2 linked regions of the Drosophila melanogaster genome follow. The protein of the gene in region 1 interacts with the protein of each later gene in a biochemical or structural test. Each region holds a gene or a part of one and is shown in the gene's direction. Other genes may lie near its edges.

Evidence for each region. Proteins that work in one complex are often made in the same cells at the same time.
Region 2: the proteins of Alh (region 1) and HP1b form a complex in vitro, tested with the Drosophila melanogaster proteins (one study listed by BioGRID).

The regions. Positions count from the first base shown.
Region 1 is NT_033777.3:7,119,343-7,127,601, reverse strand, and holds the start of Alh (alhambra), read left to right. Parts: upstream 1-3,416; 5' UTR 3,417-3,663; coding exon 3,664-3,698; intron 3,699-3,863; exon of another isoform or gene 3,864-3,962; intron 3,963-5,848; coding exon 5,849-6,327; intron 6,328-6,463; coding exon 6,464-6,660; intron 6,661-6,719; coding exon 6,720-8,140; coding exon of another isoform or gene 8,141-8,167; intron 8,168-8,259. Other genes in the region: CG10068 (uncharacterized protein), read left to right, coding at 1-29, 130-830; CG10098 (uncharacterized protein), read right to left, coding at 1,457-2,183, 2,540-2,727, 2,796-2,942.
Region 2 is NC_004354.4:9,078,386-9,085,652, forward strand, and holds HP1b (heterochromatin protein 1b), read left to right. Parts: upstream 1-2,868; 5' UTR 2,869-2,973; coding exon 2,974-3,696; 3' UTR 3,697-4,361; downstream 4,362-7,267. Other genes in the region: CG7246 (uncharacterized protein), read right to left, coding at 562-789, 861-2,045, 2,110-2,413, 2,471-2,562; APC4 (anaphase promoting complex subunit 4), read left to right, coding at 4,669-4,780, 4,856-5,098, 5,157-5,556, 5,614-5,790, 5,852-6,014, 6,084-7,267.

The DNA.
Region 1 (8,259 bases):
TGTGAGCAACGCGGAGCTGCTGGATTTCGGTTAGTCCAAGGAATAGTATAATCTCTGTGCACAAAGCACCATAATCATTACAAGCTTACACTAAGTTAAATATTATTAATCATTACCCAATACTTTCAGCTCCTCGCGCTGCTCGCATTGTGATGCAGGCGAAACGCATCAAGAACAATGTCCACCCGGATTTTGCTCGGCTCTTCGGCACATGCGTGACGAGTATCTGGGGCTACCGCAGACTGATGCATCAGGTGGAACAGCTGCGGGCGGAGAAATACGACTCGGATAACCTCGACCACGAGCAAAAGCTGTTGCGATTGTGGCAACTGCTGATGCCAGACACTCCCCTCACCGGTCGCGTGACCAAACAGTGGCAGGACATCGGCTTCCAGGGCGACGATCCGAAGACGGACTTTCGGGGAATGGGCATGCTCGGGCTAGAGAACCTTCTCTACTTTGCAACTGCCTATAACGACGCCGCCAAACATGTCCTGCTGCACTCGATGCATCCCACCCTGGGTTACACCTACGCCATTGTCGGCATTAACCTCACCTCCATGGCCTTCAATCTAGTGAAAACGGGCGCCGCCAAAACCCACTTCTACAATTTGGTGGTGCAGCACAGACAGGACTTTAGCACCGTGGAGGATTTCCACAAGTTGTACTGCTATCTGTTCTTCGAGTTTGACCGCTTTTGGATGGAGAGCGACCCACGAAACATTATGGACTTCCGCGAGATTTACCAGTCATTTGAAATTACAAAACTAGAGGCCTTGCACAATGATAGCACTATTTTTAAGACCAATTTGGTTGTAGAATCCGTCTAAAAACACGAATAGGTCAATTAATGTGAAAATGAATTTGTATCTCGCTGTATCTGAATAATTTCTAACTCTGACGATATTGGGAATTGATTGAATCAGATCAGGCTGACCATTTTTGTAAATACATGTTTAGAGTGGGGCTAAATAAAATAATTATCTTGTCATTTTTCAATTTAAATTATCAATTCATTTCGCTTCTAAATCACTTTGTAATAAAAAAAAAAGGAATCCTAAAATAAGTATCCAAATACGACAAGCCCTTTTAATTTTTGTATAAATGCAGATTTTATGCGTTTATTTGAGAGCCATATATAATGTATATTTGTATATGTATTCATATATATTTGAATGCAAGTATGTAAATCGTTAAACTAAGCCTGGAATGTCACACAATAATACTTTAAATTCAAGTCGGAGATTGCCCACTGAGACAGAATAAATAATAATTTAAATATCACGCAAAAGCATAAAAACTAAACGAAATAAAATCAGTAGAGATTGCACAAGAAAATATTTTGACGACTAAAGCCTATTTGGTAATGCCATAAGAATGCTCAAGTCAAATCCCGATGCTCAATAGAGCTTGCAAGCTAGTTTTTGGAGTATCCATATAGATAGTATTCGTTGGTCTAGCGATAGAACTTGACTTCCGCCTCGACACAGTCCTTGAGCAGTTCGTCCAGCTCGTCACTGGCGTGATCCTGCAGAGAGAAATAGTTATTTAGCTCGTCCACGCAGGAGAGCTCCAAGCTGCGCAAGTGCTCCAAGGCGGCCGGCTTGCGTTGCGAGTGTAGCTTGTGCAGCAACGTCAAGTCCGCTTCCGCTTGCACTTGGGTTAGCGGCGAGATCCTCGGATTTGGGGCAAAAACGAACGGCTTAAACACAGACTCGGCGGCATTGGGCGTCCCGGTGAACCAATGGCATGAGATTCCCTTCACCGACAGCACCGAAACGGTAGCCGCCCTCGAGCTGCTCGCATTACTGGCGGATCGCAGCGTCTCGAACATGTCGTGCTGGGTATATGTTCCATCGCCAGCTGGCTTGGGACCACACCAATCCACTGCCGGGGCCTGGGCCTCTGCATCGTGAGCAGCGGCAAAACTGGCAGCGTCATCTAATCCCTCGCTTGACTTGTTCACCACAGTGGTCACAGCCAGTCCTCCGGAGGGCAAACGCAAGAAGCTGGCCTCCAATTTCTCAGCGGCCCATACCTTGCCAGAGCAACTCACAAGCCAGGCAGCAGCTGCATCGCAAGCGATGAAGTTTAGTTTGGAGTTGTCGTGACCGTGACTGGCCACCAAAGCTCCAATCCGGTCTACAGCATCGTCCACATCTTTGGCGACAGCCAAAGTCAAGCTACAAAAAAGTTATTAGATGATTTATTATTTCATGATTTATAATAATTGTAAAAGCCTTAGTTTCTCGACAACATTAAATTTCTGATTGATTCGTTTTTAATTAACTTATGAAATAATGTTGAAATAATAGTATCTTCAAGCATTAATAAGCCCTAAAGGACACGAAAGGATTGGAATGCTAATTACAAACATCAGCCACAAAATGTCATCCTTTGAATAAGTATTTACGTTCTGCATTATATAGACTTCATATGTACATACATTTTTAGTGATGAAAGTTATTTATATTAAGTGCAAATAATTTGCTTTGTTGTGCATAGTTTGTTGATACGCAGATATTGAAAGAGAACTTACCGCACTATATCCGTGCCCAGCAGGCTGTCGCTGTCCTTGGCCTCGTTTTCACCTGCCGCCCAGGTAAGACCTAGGGCCACTCCGCGTTCATTGGCCCCGAAGTCCCCACCCCAGAGACCCGGCTGCGGTTTTTGCAATATAACACGCAACATATCGCCGCCTGTCTCGGCAGAAGCTCCACCGTCAGTCTGAAATGTGAGGTGTTTGGGTGGTGAGTCATTGATCGAGCTTCGTTTTCGGAGGAGTCTGTCTTTACCTTCCCCTCAAGCACTTCGGTGGCATCGTAGAAGCAAACCTCCGAAGCAACGTTGACGTTTTTTTCGTCCTCCGCATTGCGACCGATGATCAAAGTTCCTTCGGCACAGTTCTCGGGCAGAACAACAAAGCAGTCACCGTTGGTCATTTTTATCCGTGCTTTTCTCGCGAAGAAGTTTCTTCAGAAGTGCGCGAGGGAGTTGCAAAATTGATTTTTCCCACAGCTGTTTAAGGTTCAAACGTTATTCAACACTGCCCAATATATATCGTGGAAATGAACCGTGGCGATGAGCCGTTGACTCGTCTGGCAACATCGGACGTTATTTATTTGTTTAGTATGGAGAATTCTAAAAGAACTATAAGGATTAGGTATTTTAGTGTTCTATATATAAAATATTTCCTTATACATCTCCATTATTTAAATGACGAGCATTAATGTTGACAATACTATGATCCAACACCAATAAGAATTCGATTTACTTAAATTACAACCTTCATTTACACCATAATTAGCAGCATTGAATAAGAGAGGGAAGTTATAATGAATATCGGGTTTTCCTTTGAATCTGGAAAAATGCAGACAAGTCGCATCCCATCTCTAAGCATTTTACCCTTCTCTGATAAAGTACCCATCGCTAGAAATCTGCCCATTCGTCTGGTAACCGAGGTTTTTCTTGTTTCGGCGTTAAAATGCTCAAAAACCTGTCTGCATAGAAGGAAAACGCGGAACGTCTCGGAATTGCAAGCTTTTCGCGATATTCGGGCAATTGGAAAAACCGCGCATCCAGCAAAATTGTATCCACTAAGCTGCATTTGTATACAGAGCAGGTGGTGTTGTCTCCCTCTCGCGCCCGCACTGCTCGCTCCCGATGTGCGAGCGAAACAACAACAAACAAGTTACAAGGTGTGTGGAGTGGTGTGTGCTGCTGGTGTTGTTGTAGCTGTAGTTGTAAATACTCGCGCACACAGTGTTGTTGTTGCGCTGGTGGATGGTGTTGTTCAGCGCCTTTTTTGAGTGTTGATTATTTTACTTGCGTGCGTTTGCTACTCGTGGGCGGCTGTGAAGACTGTGAGACGCGGAAAAGTGCTGAGAAAAGCCACGAAAAGCTAGATAAACGCTAACCCACAGCTGCGGGCTGGAAACCATTTATTTAAAGTGCCAAATTGGGTAAAGAAATTTAGAAAATCAATATTCTGTGAGGGTGCTAGCGGCCAATAAGAAACCTCTGCGTGAAAATAGCAAGAAAGTCGAAAGAATTTCAAGTTTTCGATAGACCGCTCCCTGAAAAAAATAGATATTTTCTGTTTTTGTTGTGCGTTGCTTGACGACTTTGACCGCGCGCATTTTCCCCGCCGTGAAACTAGTTTCTTTTTGTTTGGTGGCACACCGCTGATGACGTTTTAAAGCCCTGCTGGCCAGTGAAATTAAAGCAATTGCCCATAAAAATCAATAAATTCAAGCCACGGGTATACACACAATTTGAAGGAAATTTAAGCAGTGCTTTAAGAGACGAGTTGCGGAAACTGGGAGAAACTACCCTCCAGTCCCCAAAAACTCCCCCGAAGGATGTTTTAAATGGGGTACATATATACATGTACACACACCCACCCGTATTCCACCCCCCAAAAGCGCGCCCCCTTTTCCGGCATTTCGTCAACATTAATGTAGCATCTCCCCGCGTGCGTGTGTATGTATCTGTTCTGCCTGACGACAGTGTGTGTTTGCTTGTGTCGAAAGTGCATTGCTCTTCATTACAAAAGCAACGTGCAGAGCGGCCTCGTTTCATATGGCCAAGTGTGTGTGATTTTACACCGTTAAGTTAGAGAACTCCAGCTAACCCGCTGTTGGCAACACGCTGGCTGCGTTTTTCTTTTTCGGCAGTTGGCAACACGCTGACCCAATAACGGTACAACTAGACCCGCACTCTCCTCCGCCGCGATCTCTCGCACAGATGCGCATGCATGAATGAAACAGAAACAGCACCCGCATGCCGTTATTATTATTATTATAATAATTGCCGTTGTTGTTGTGAAATCTCCGCGACCCACATATTTGCGTTCGATCGCACATTGGGACCAAATCGACATCCAATTGGATTCGGGGCAGGGCTGCATTTTCCTGTTTTATTTTTGGTAGCCCATTTAAATCAGGTTCAATGAACCAACACCAGCCCACGGAATGCCGCAGAAGAGAGTGTTTGTGTGTGCGTTGCCCGTTTTGTGAAAGTTAAAAATATTTGTTGTTCGTATTGCTGTGCTAAAACCTCCTATCAATATTCGGTGGCATAGCTGTTTATATTTTCGGCCGTCTTTATTTAAATGATTCGACATACATAATTAGCATGTATTATTAAGCAGCGGCAAAATTACCTTGACATTGAGAGATTATTTGTGTGTGCGTGTAAATGTTCTGCGAACGGGGCTCCATGTGCCATCTCTCTCGCTCTCGCTTCGAAGGCCAAGTTGTAAATACAAGCGCACAATTAGGTATAATATTTTATAGGGCTACTGTTTTTGTTGATGTTATTGTGGAAAAACCGAGTGCGAATGACCTTGCCAATAGACACCTGCCTCGATAGCAGCATATTATCGATAACGAGAAAGGCCGGAACCTCTATCTCAAGATCGTCGACTTCGAGCGGGGTGGAGCGGAGCTCTGATAAAAAATGTTTTATATAGACTCTACGTTCTTTAAATTATTACAAAAATGTGAAAGAAAAAAGTAAAGAGCATGCTTATTTTCTTGATAAGGAAAGCTGAACAAATAAATTTCTTATAAATTTTACTGCTAATTCCATACAAATTTGGTAAAAAGTCGTTGTTTTTATTAGAAATACTATTACAAATAAAATTCAGAAGATTCGTAAGTGCATCATACTTATGTATGTTCAACTTTTCGCTCAACTTTCAACGCTCCTCTGGTAACGTTAATTGGACCCAAATATATTGAGTTTTAAAAATCCTCTTTTTACTTAAGGAAAATTCTTATATTATATATATATATATATATATATATATATATATATATATATATATATATATATATACTTGCAGCTCCAACAAAATTCCGTCTTCATTCAATGCGAAACTGGAGCTAGACTCCAGCAAAGACGACACCATTCACTCCACAAGCTTGAACAAGAAGCTGGTCAAGATTAAAAAGTTCAAGTTGGACGATATGAAGGAGATGGTGGGCGGCTGTTGCGTTTGTTCAGACGAGCGGGGGTGGCCGGAGAACCCGCTCGTCTACTGTGACGGCCAGAACTGTACTGTGGCAGTGCACCAGGCGTGCTATGGCATTGTGACGGTTCCCACTGGACCCTGGTACTGTCGCAAGTGCGAGTCCCAGGAGCGAACCTCTCGCGTCCGATGCGAACTATGTCCCTCGCGGGATGGCGCCCTTAAGAAGACGGATAATAGCGGGTGGGCGCACGTTGTTTGCGCCCTGTACATCCCAGAGGTGCGATTTGGGAATGTGACCACCATGGAGCCCATCATATTGTCATTAATACCGCAGGAGCGGTACTCGAAGAGTAAGCTATGTTTAAATGTTTTATATTTACATATATTATTTAAAAAATGTTACTCATTGAAAAATTATAACCCCTGTTTGTTAAACTAGCCTTAGCTAAATGGCAATAATTAATTACAATCCGTTTCCATTTTCAGCTTGCTATATTTGCCAGGAAATTGGCAAACCAAATCGTGCCAATGTTGGCGCCTGTATGCAGTGCAACAAATCGAATTGCAAGCAGCAGTTCCACGTCACCTGCGCCCAGAGCCTTGGATTGCTCTGCGAGGAGGCTGGTAACTATCTGGATAATGTGAAGTACTGCGGCTACTGTCAGCACCATTACAGCAAACTGGTGCGTATGTGAGGGATAGCATTCGTGATTTTTCCGTTCAAATTCTTGATACTTTGCAGAAAAAGGGCGGCAACGTCAAAACAATACCTCCATATAAACCCATTCAACATGACACCTCTTCCGATTCGTGTTCGTCGCCCGAGAAGGAGATCGATTCAACCATGAACTCCGCGACAACTTCGGCCACAATCATAAAGATTACCAGCAGCAGTGGCAGTGCTGGTGGCAGCAGCAATGTTTTGAATGCAAGCTCCAGTGCTGGAATCTCTGCTGGAAGCAGCAGTGGGAGTGGCGTATCATCTTCCGCAAAGCAGCGCAAGAGCAATGCATCAAGTAAATCATCTAGCAGCAGTAGCAGTAGCTCGTCATCCTCAACAGGAGGGGCTCCCAACCCCTCCTCGAGTTCTGTGCATTCGGGAAGTGCTAGCAATATGACAGGAGGAGGAAGTGTACTACCAGGGAGTAGCAACATCGGCAACATTAGCAATAGTTTAAACAATAATCTGCCCGGAGGCAGTTCGTCCACCAGCAGTGCTGGAAACGTGCCTGGTGGAAGTGGGGGAATTATATCAGCTTCGAGCGGTGGTGCTACGCAATCGACAAGCAGTCAATCGTCAACAGCACCAGGAACCACCAAATCATCGGCCAGCAGTTCGAGCAGTAGTAGCAACAGCTACAAGGAGAAACATAGCAAAAGCTTAAGCAAATCCACATCCAGCAAGGACAAGGATGGAAAAGATAGCTCTACCAATTCAGCGAATAACAATTTCACAAATTCATCTGCATCATCAACATCTTCCAACTCCTCGTCGACACGAGAGAAATCCTCATCAAAGCTTTCTAAGAACAAAGACTCCAATCAAGTACCCAGTGCCACCAGCAGCTTAAGCACAACGAGCAGTATCAACACCCAGCCCAGTTCGTCGACTTCAACTGCTACAGCTGGATCGGGCGGTACTGGGACTCATGTGAGCAGTTCGGCTGCCAGTGGACTTAACTCAGCTCCTTCCACAACCAATGAGCATTCAAATCATGCCCACACCCTTAGCACAAATGGAACCGGAGCCGGAAGCGCAGCCGGAAAGTTGCAATCAGTCAGTAATCTGAGCAACAGTAGTTCTGGTTTTGGATCGGATCTGCGATCAGTCAGCACATCCTCAAGCTCCACTGTGAACGACTCCACCGGAGGATTCGGTAGTAATTCGAATTCAGAAAGGGAGAATTTGTCAGGCGCTGGATCGTCGGCAAGCAACATGCCTGGAACAATAGCTCCTGGTACTGGTGGCGTATCTTCCAGTGCGGCCACTAATCTAAGCACCAATAAGGGAGGCTCTTCGTCATCGACGGCGAATAGCCTTACATCTACGAGCACTTCCTCAGGCAGCTCCTCTAACTCGTCATCGAAAAAACGAAAAGCGGATTCTGCTAAGTCCACTAGCAGTATTTCCACCTCTGGCTCCGCTCTGGAGGATAACAATAGGTGGGGAACGAGAAACGCAAAGAAAAGGTCTTTTACAATTTACATTTTTCAAAATTTGGTAGTTACTTAGTTTACGCCTGATTTTAAAGAAACAAATGGGACTGTGTTGCACATCTATG
Region 2 (7,267 bases), on another chromosome or scaffold:
GGTTGAGATTTCGCTTTCGTTGGCTTTTATGGAATGGAACTGGATTGGGTCGACTGGATGCGCTTGATTTTGCTGGTGCGTGTTGATGCCACGGCGTACGCAAGTGAACTGGCCAACTGCTCTGCCGCCACTCGCTTTCAAAGCTCCAGTGGCGTCGACGTCGGCAGCGCTGTCGGCGGCGGCAGCGGCGTCAGGCAGGCAAAGTTAATGCCCATGTTTTTGTTTACCTTCGGAAAACGCAATTAGCTCGGATTTATGAGCACATCCGTCGACGGAAGAGGTTAAAGGATATTCTCGTATAGCATTACTCATAATTTAACCGCTTTTGAAAAGGACATTTCAACAATAGGATGGTTAAATGAGAACTTTTCCATATGACTGTACTTTGAATTCACACACCTGCATATTGCCAAAGTAAAAATCAGATTTCATAAATTATCTTATAAGCTGTATATTCACAAGTCCTTATTTTAGAATCGAATCACTATAGACAGTCCGAAAGATCGACTTAGAAATTAAGTTAATGAAAAAAACAGAAGCACAAATAAACTATTTAGCCAACTATATCGATGCGCCCACATAGGCCAGTGCCCGTTCCGCCTCAAACGCGGCGACATATTGAGGCTCTAGGGTGCTGAGAGCCCGCTGGGTGAGCAGGGAGATGTTCTTCGCCTCGCCGTGATCTCGCTCGAAGGCGAGATACTCCACCCAAACGCGCGGCTGTGTCTTGCCGAAATAGCAGGCCATAAAGTCGTAGCACATGCGCCAGTATTTCAGGCTGGCCTGGTCCTGCAACAGATAAAGTAAATTAGTTGCGCCTCGCAATTATATGCCAAAGTAGCAAAGATAACAAAACATACACAAGCTGCCGCACTGGACTCCAGCTGAACCATTTGGCGGTGCAGCGCCAACGACATGGGCGGTAGAATGGCCAGCTTGGCGTACTCCTTGCGTGCTTCCTCGACAGACCGCTCCTGCCACAGATAGCGCAAATAATCGGAGCGCAGCTCACCAAATTCCGGCCACGCAGCCTTGCAGGCGAGACCGTAGATCTCATCCAGCCGGCGTGCGCCCAAGCTATCCTGCCGAGTGCGATAATACAGAATGACACTGCGCCACAGCGGCAACGCCTCACTGCCCATGCTCTTCTGGATCTTGTTGAATAGCTCATAGATCAAGGGCTCACTGTCGCTTTGAATGTGCGTGGCCAGAAGAAGCTCGTGCATCTCCACCGATGAATCGTTTTTCAGGGCTTCCGTGAGTATGGTGACAGCTGCCTCCCTTCCACTCGGAGCAGTGCAGAGCATCTTTCTTAATGTGGCATAGTGTTTCACGCCCATCAACTGAGAGCGATGGCCCGCCTGCAAGGCATCCGCTAGGCACTGTTGCTTTAGTATACGCTCCGTCTTTCCATCGCTATTGAGTGCCAGCATGGCATCCAAATACATATTCCACATTTCTGTCGTTTGCAGCTCCTCCACCGCCGATTTGTATACAGTAACGCAGAGTTGAATGCGTCGCTTGAGAGAGCGGCCATTTACGGAACGAGATTTCTTGCTGGCCGGCTCTTCGTCACTGGTATCCAAGTCCTCCTCCTCCAGGTCGCCCAGATGAAAGCCGCGCAACTCTCGCTGGGCAAGCAAATCCCACAGGCCCGGCTCCCGGGGGAACTTCTCTTGCATATCATCGATTATCATTCGCTGCAGCTTGCCCGTCAGCTCCTGATGATCCTCACAGCTTTCTAGAAGCTTAACAAAGTAGTCCAATTGGGTAATATTGGCCATGCTGTTGCGGTAGACCGCCTCCACGCGTTCCAATTTGATGTCCTGTTCCGAGAGCGTATTCTCGGCTAAATTGCGTTCGTTGCTGGCCAGGGCAGCCTCTTTCAGCATAATGTCAAAGAAGCACTTGTTAAGTGCCTCGGAATCCGGATGTCTCTGCAAGCCACGCAGCAGGATGTCCTTGACTCGATCGATGTTGAGCCGATTGAACTCGTACAGCCATAAGGCGGCGTCCACCCAAAGATCCGGCGAGTCGCCATGGTACTGCAAAAGAATAACAACAATGGATAAGTAATCAATGGAAGTGAGCAGGCTGGCAAATACTAACCAGCAGCATCTTCTCGTATATGCCCGCCACCTCGACAGGATTTGACTTCCTGCTGAACTTGATCCAGTTGCTCCACAGCCGTCTGTCGTGGTTAAACTTAGCCAAGGCCTCTCTGTACAGGCGCATGATCCGCGTGGCTATGGAGGCCTTTAGACCGGTGAGTTTAACGTGCATCTTCTTTTCCTTGTCCACGATGGTCATGTGCATGTGCTTCTCGTACAGTATGAAGTCCAGGTAGTCGGTGATGCTCTGGTGGCTCTTGTTGATCTTAAGGAACAAGCGTTCCCGCCTGCTAACGATTTCTCTGCAAGAATATGGATGAAATGGGGGCACAGACTCCAAATTCGTTTGGATTTCTCACCTGACCTGATCCGCTGTGAATACGCTGTAGTTCTTCATCTGCTCGTATTCCGGCAGCAGGCGCTCCTGCATCTCAGCTATGAACTCGGCCATATTTGCTTAGTTTTCTCCTTAATCGTACTTAGTAATATTGTTTATTTCTTTAAAAACTAGCGCACGTGCAACGCAACGGCCGTTTATCGATTGTCCAATTTCTGGAGAGTTATCGCTGACAGGGATGGTAGAAAGGGTAATTTAAAAAAAATATATATATATGTCAAAATTTAAAAATGGTCAAGAGATAATGATAAAATTACAATTGTAAAGTTTTTAAAGTTTCAGCTTTTTAATTAAAATGCGTTTACTGGCCAAGAGAGCGATAGTTGCCGATGGCGAGACCATGGAGTTGCCATCTTGATTTCTTCTTCTTCTTCAATCTCTTTAATCGCACGTATAAATAAGTTTTGGACGCCAAGAAAATAACAAAATTCGCAGTTGGAATAACACAATTAGCGTAAAAGCACAATGGCCGAATTCTCAGTGGAACGCGTCGAGGACAAGCGAACGGTGAACGGACGAACGGAATACTATCTAAAGTGGAAGGGCTATCCGCGCAGCGAAAACACCTGGGAGCCGGTGGAGAATCTCGACTGTCCAGACCTGATAGCCAACTTCGAGGAGTCGCTGAAGAACAACAAGAAGGAGACAAAGAAACGCCTGTCCACCTCCTCCACACCCGAATCCATACGCAGCAAGCGCAAGAGCTTCCTGGAGGACGATACCGAGGAGCAGAAGAAGCTGATCGGCTTTGAGCGCGGTCTGGAGGCATCAAAAATACTGGGCGCCACCGACTCATCCGGGCACCTAATGTTCCTCATGAAGTGGAAGGGCAGCGATCACGCCGACCTTGTGCCCGCCAAGCTGGCCAACACTCGATGCCCCCAGGTGGTCATACAGTTCTATGAGGAGCGCCTCACCTGGCACACGGGCAGCGGCAATGGTAATGGGAATACGAATTCCGTCAATTTGGGATCATCCGGTGGCCTGGGCTCCGTCGGCGGCAGTGGGGCCGGCGATGATACTGCTCCCGGCAGCGTTGGCACCACCGGTGGCGGCAGCAATATAGATGGCGGTGACGAGGAGGATCCCGAACCGGCCAGCCCCATTGGCAGCATCAATCAAGACGAGAATATCAAGCCGGACGAGAGTAGTGAGCTGGACAACGGACAGCCGGATGCGGATGACTAGTTGAGTGGCAGATACAGATGACTGTTTCGGATTCACTCGCTTATGTGGATACATACACACCGGCTTTATACGATATATGTACATACATATTTCGTAGCGTAGCCCTTAAGATAAAAAAATTGGACAAACTGAAGTTCTGGCGTCAGTCAGCGGTAGTATATACATATACATATATACATATACATATATATACATACTTAATCTATAAGTTCAATTGTAAAATTGTTTTTAACATCTACCTTTATTTTTGACCCACATAAATGTTTTATAAGCATATAACATCACAGTGTTAAATACAATTGGCCTAAACTACGCTTAACCTGATCAATGAGGAACGACTCAGACTGAAGGACCACCTTTCTATCTTAACAACTATCCAGCTTTCTAACACTTTAAGTTAAAAAAAAACACATTGAAATTGCCAATATTTTTGTGTGGAAATCAAAAGACGCCAATTGTGCTGCCCACCTAGCGCCTTTATAGCCAGAATTTGAGATTTTTTCCTAACAGGCAGTTATTAAGATCGATTAATTTAGATTTTCCCGATTTTTTCATTGTTTCGCAAATCATTATGTGTTCCAAACAAAAGCTTTTAAAACTATGTAGGTTTGTAAGACTAAAGTAAAGTACGAATAAAACAAAATTGTGCTGGCAGATAATTTGCCATGCCGTGCATAAGTACAAATATCTAAGAAGTTTCAATCATAAATACACATTCTTTCTCGCTGTCCCGAAGTTTTAATACAAATATTTTGTTTAAACATTTGACAAAAATCAAATAAAATGTCAAAAATGACTGAAGAATTGGAGAAACCAATTTGTAATAGCTACTATTTCCGCTCATCTCTGATCGATAGCAGGAATATTATTCGATAGACTGCAACAGGAGCCGGCAAAGTGTAAACTAAAATTATTATATTGAAATATTTGATGCACAGTAGAGACGCCGCGAGCCAATTCTAGCGTGGAAAGATGGCACAAACGAGCTCCATGAAGTTGCTGGGCGCCCGCAACATGTCCTGCATTGTGGAGCGTATGGAGTGGAACAACAAGATGGATCTAATTGCCTACGGAACGGAAAAGGGTGAGCGTCTGCCTCCGAAATTGCCAAGAATCACCAAATAAACTGCCAGTGGGCTTATCCCAATCATGTGGATAGGTGAGGTGGTCATCCAGCGTCTGAACTGGCAAAAGATTGTCACCTTTCCCACGCCCGGCGAGGATGTGCGGGTGCGTTCGCTCAGCTGGCAAATGGACGAGACACTCCTGGCGGTTGGCTACAGCAACGGCAAGGTGGCGCTCCTGGACGCCGAGAGCGGAACGATAATATCAGGCCTCATTTACGAGGACGACATCAAGAAGGTCTACTTCAGCAAGGCCATCAACTCGCAGGAGAACCTAGGTAAACCAGCGATACGAAATAAGCTACAGGGATTTGATTGTGTTATAAACGATTCTAGGAACTTACACATGTAATGTCAAGGATAAACACCGAAGGTTCCTGCCCAAACTGCAGCCAATGACCAATATTGATCCGTGCCTGAAAACCCTGGACCAAAAGTCCTTTCCAAAGGGATCACCTTGCTTTCTGGTGGTGATAATGCGCAGCGGCAAAGTGCACCTACTGCTCCTAGGAGCCCTGCAGGCGGGCAGCATCGATCTCACACAGCACATTCTGCATCCGCACGAGTTCGATGTGTACGATGTGAGGATGAACGGAGACTGTAATGCCATTTATGCTCTTTTGCGGGACGGTCAGGAGCTGATATTGCTGCACTTTCAAAACCAGGTGCTGCAGGATTGCATGGCACCCATGCTGGAGCTGGCAACGCATTGTGCCCACATCCTAGAAACCAAAAAGTAATACATTTATTTGCCAATAAGTTATGTTACTAACCATCGTTTGGCGCTATTTAGCTATATTAATGACACGCAACAATGTTTGACGGAGGCCTGGGAGACCGTGCAGTTGGAAATGGACAATAAGCTAACCAGGTACGCCAATTCCCAGCCGTACGGAGTGATATCTGCCCATTTTCTGGAGCTGCACGTCTTTGGATTCGCTACCTTCGAGGTAGAGGAGTTTTTGTTCGAGTGAGTGGCTAATGTATTGGTCGATCCTCATGCTCATCATATCGACATGTTCATTTCGCAGGACTCTTTCCGAGAAGGGTTTCAAGAAGATTGCCAACTCGGTGGACCTTAGTTTAAGCAATCTGCAGAGCTTAGTTTTCAAGCAACTGAATGGAGCAGCCATCAACATGTTCTATTTCCTCAACACAATCGCGGGTTTCGGTCGCATGTCGCACTTTTTTGAGGTTAGTTGAGGCTTTGCTGGTTTTCCATTAATTATAACTAATCATTAGGCATCCTAATGTCATCATTAGTCCCTAATCTCTCCGGATGTGGCCAACGAAGCGATGCGAGCCTGTGGAGGATTTGTGCTCAAAGTACACGAGCTGCAGCGAACAATCGACACGTTGGCGTACGACATGAAGCTCTTTCACGCCTGGATGATATTCACAATACTACGGCTGTCGCATCAGGAGATTCCCGATGACCTGGTGCTCACCGAGGAGGAGAACATTGCCATGGCCGACTTCATCTGCGCCATGGAACCGGAATTGGACGATCGCAGCGATGATGAGGATGAACTGGATTCGCAATCCCAAACGCCACCGCCTGCGCGCAGCAAATTCAATTTGGAACGAGTGGGCCAGTATCTGGACAATGCCTACCTCACACAGCTCTATCCCAGGGATCCAGTCCAGCTGTGGGAGGAGATGGTAACCGACAACGAATGCCTAAGCAACTGCAAACTTTTTGTGCCCCACGACGTGAACCTGTCGCTTGTGCAGCAGCGCGACAAGATGTTCAATGCCATCGATGCCGTGTTCCATAAGCCAACGGAGAGCATAAGCGGAAGTTTCAAGGTCTCCTCGACGGTGATATGCAACGACCTGCCGCCCATGGAGCCCGGCGAGGATCATAGGGACAGGGATCTCGTCACCTGCACCTATTACGTTAACGAAGCGTCCAGGACCGACATGTTGGCCTGCACCATCAGCGGGCAGGAGGCCATGATACTCGAGTTTAGTCGAGCGGGCGATGAATGCGTGCGCTGCACTAGAATTACACTGGAGCCAGGATTATTTACAACATCCGTGTCCGAAGATTTCTGTTACCTACGCTTCGTCGACCTGCAGTTCTACAATGAATCTTCGCTATCGATACTGGCCCAGTCCATAAATGCGGGACCTGGCATGCGACCGCATAGCTTCTTTATACAATTCTCACTGACCGCGGCGCTGAATTACAGCACACAGCACCGAATGGGACCGTTGGTCAAGCTGAGCGAAGCCACCGTGTCGCAAAGCATCCATGACATTGCCGATGGTGCCGCCTTCAAGGGACTGGACGGATTTAGCGACATGTTGGCCGTCTCGGGCAGCAGGAAGGTGGCCACCGTTCTCTCCGATCGCAAGCGCAAGATGACCATTTTTGAGATGGAAATCGAGGAGGAGGAGGATGACACGGAAATGTCCCAGGCCTCGTTTCTGGACATCAGCAA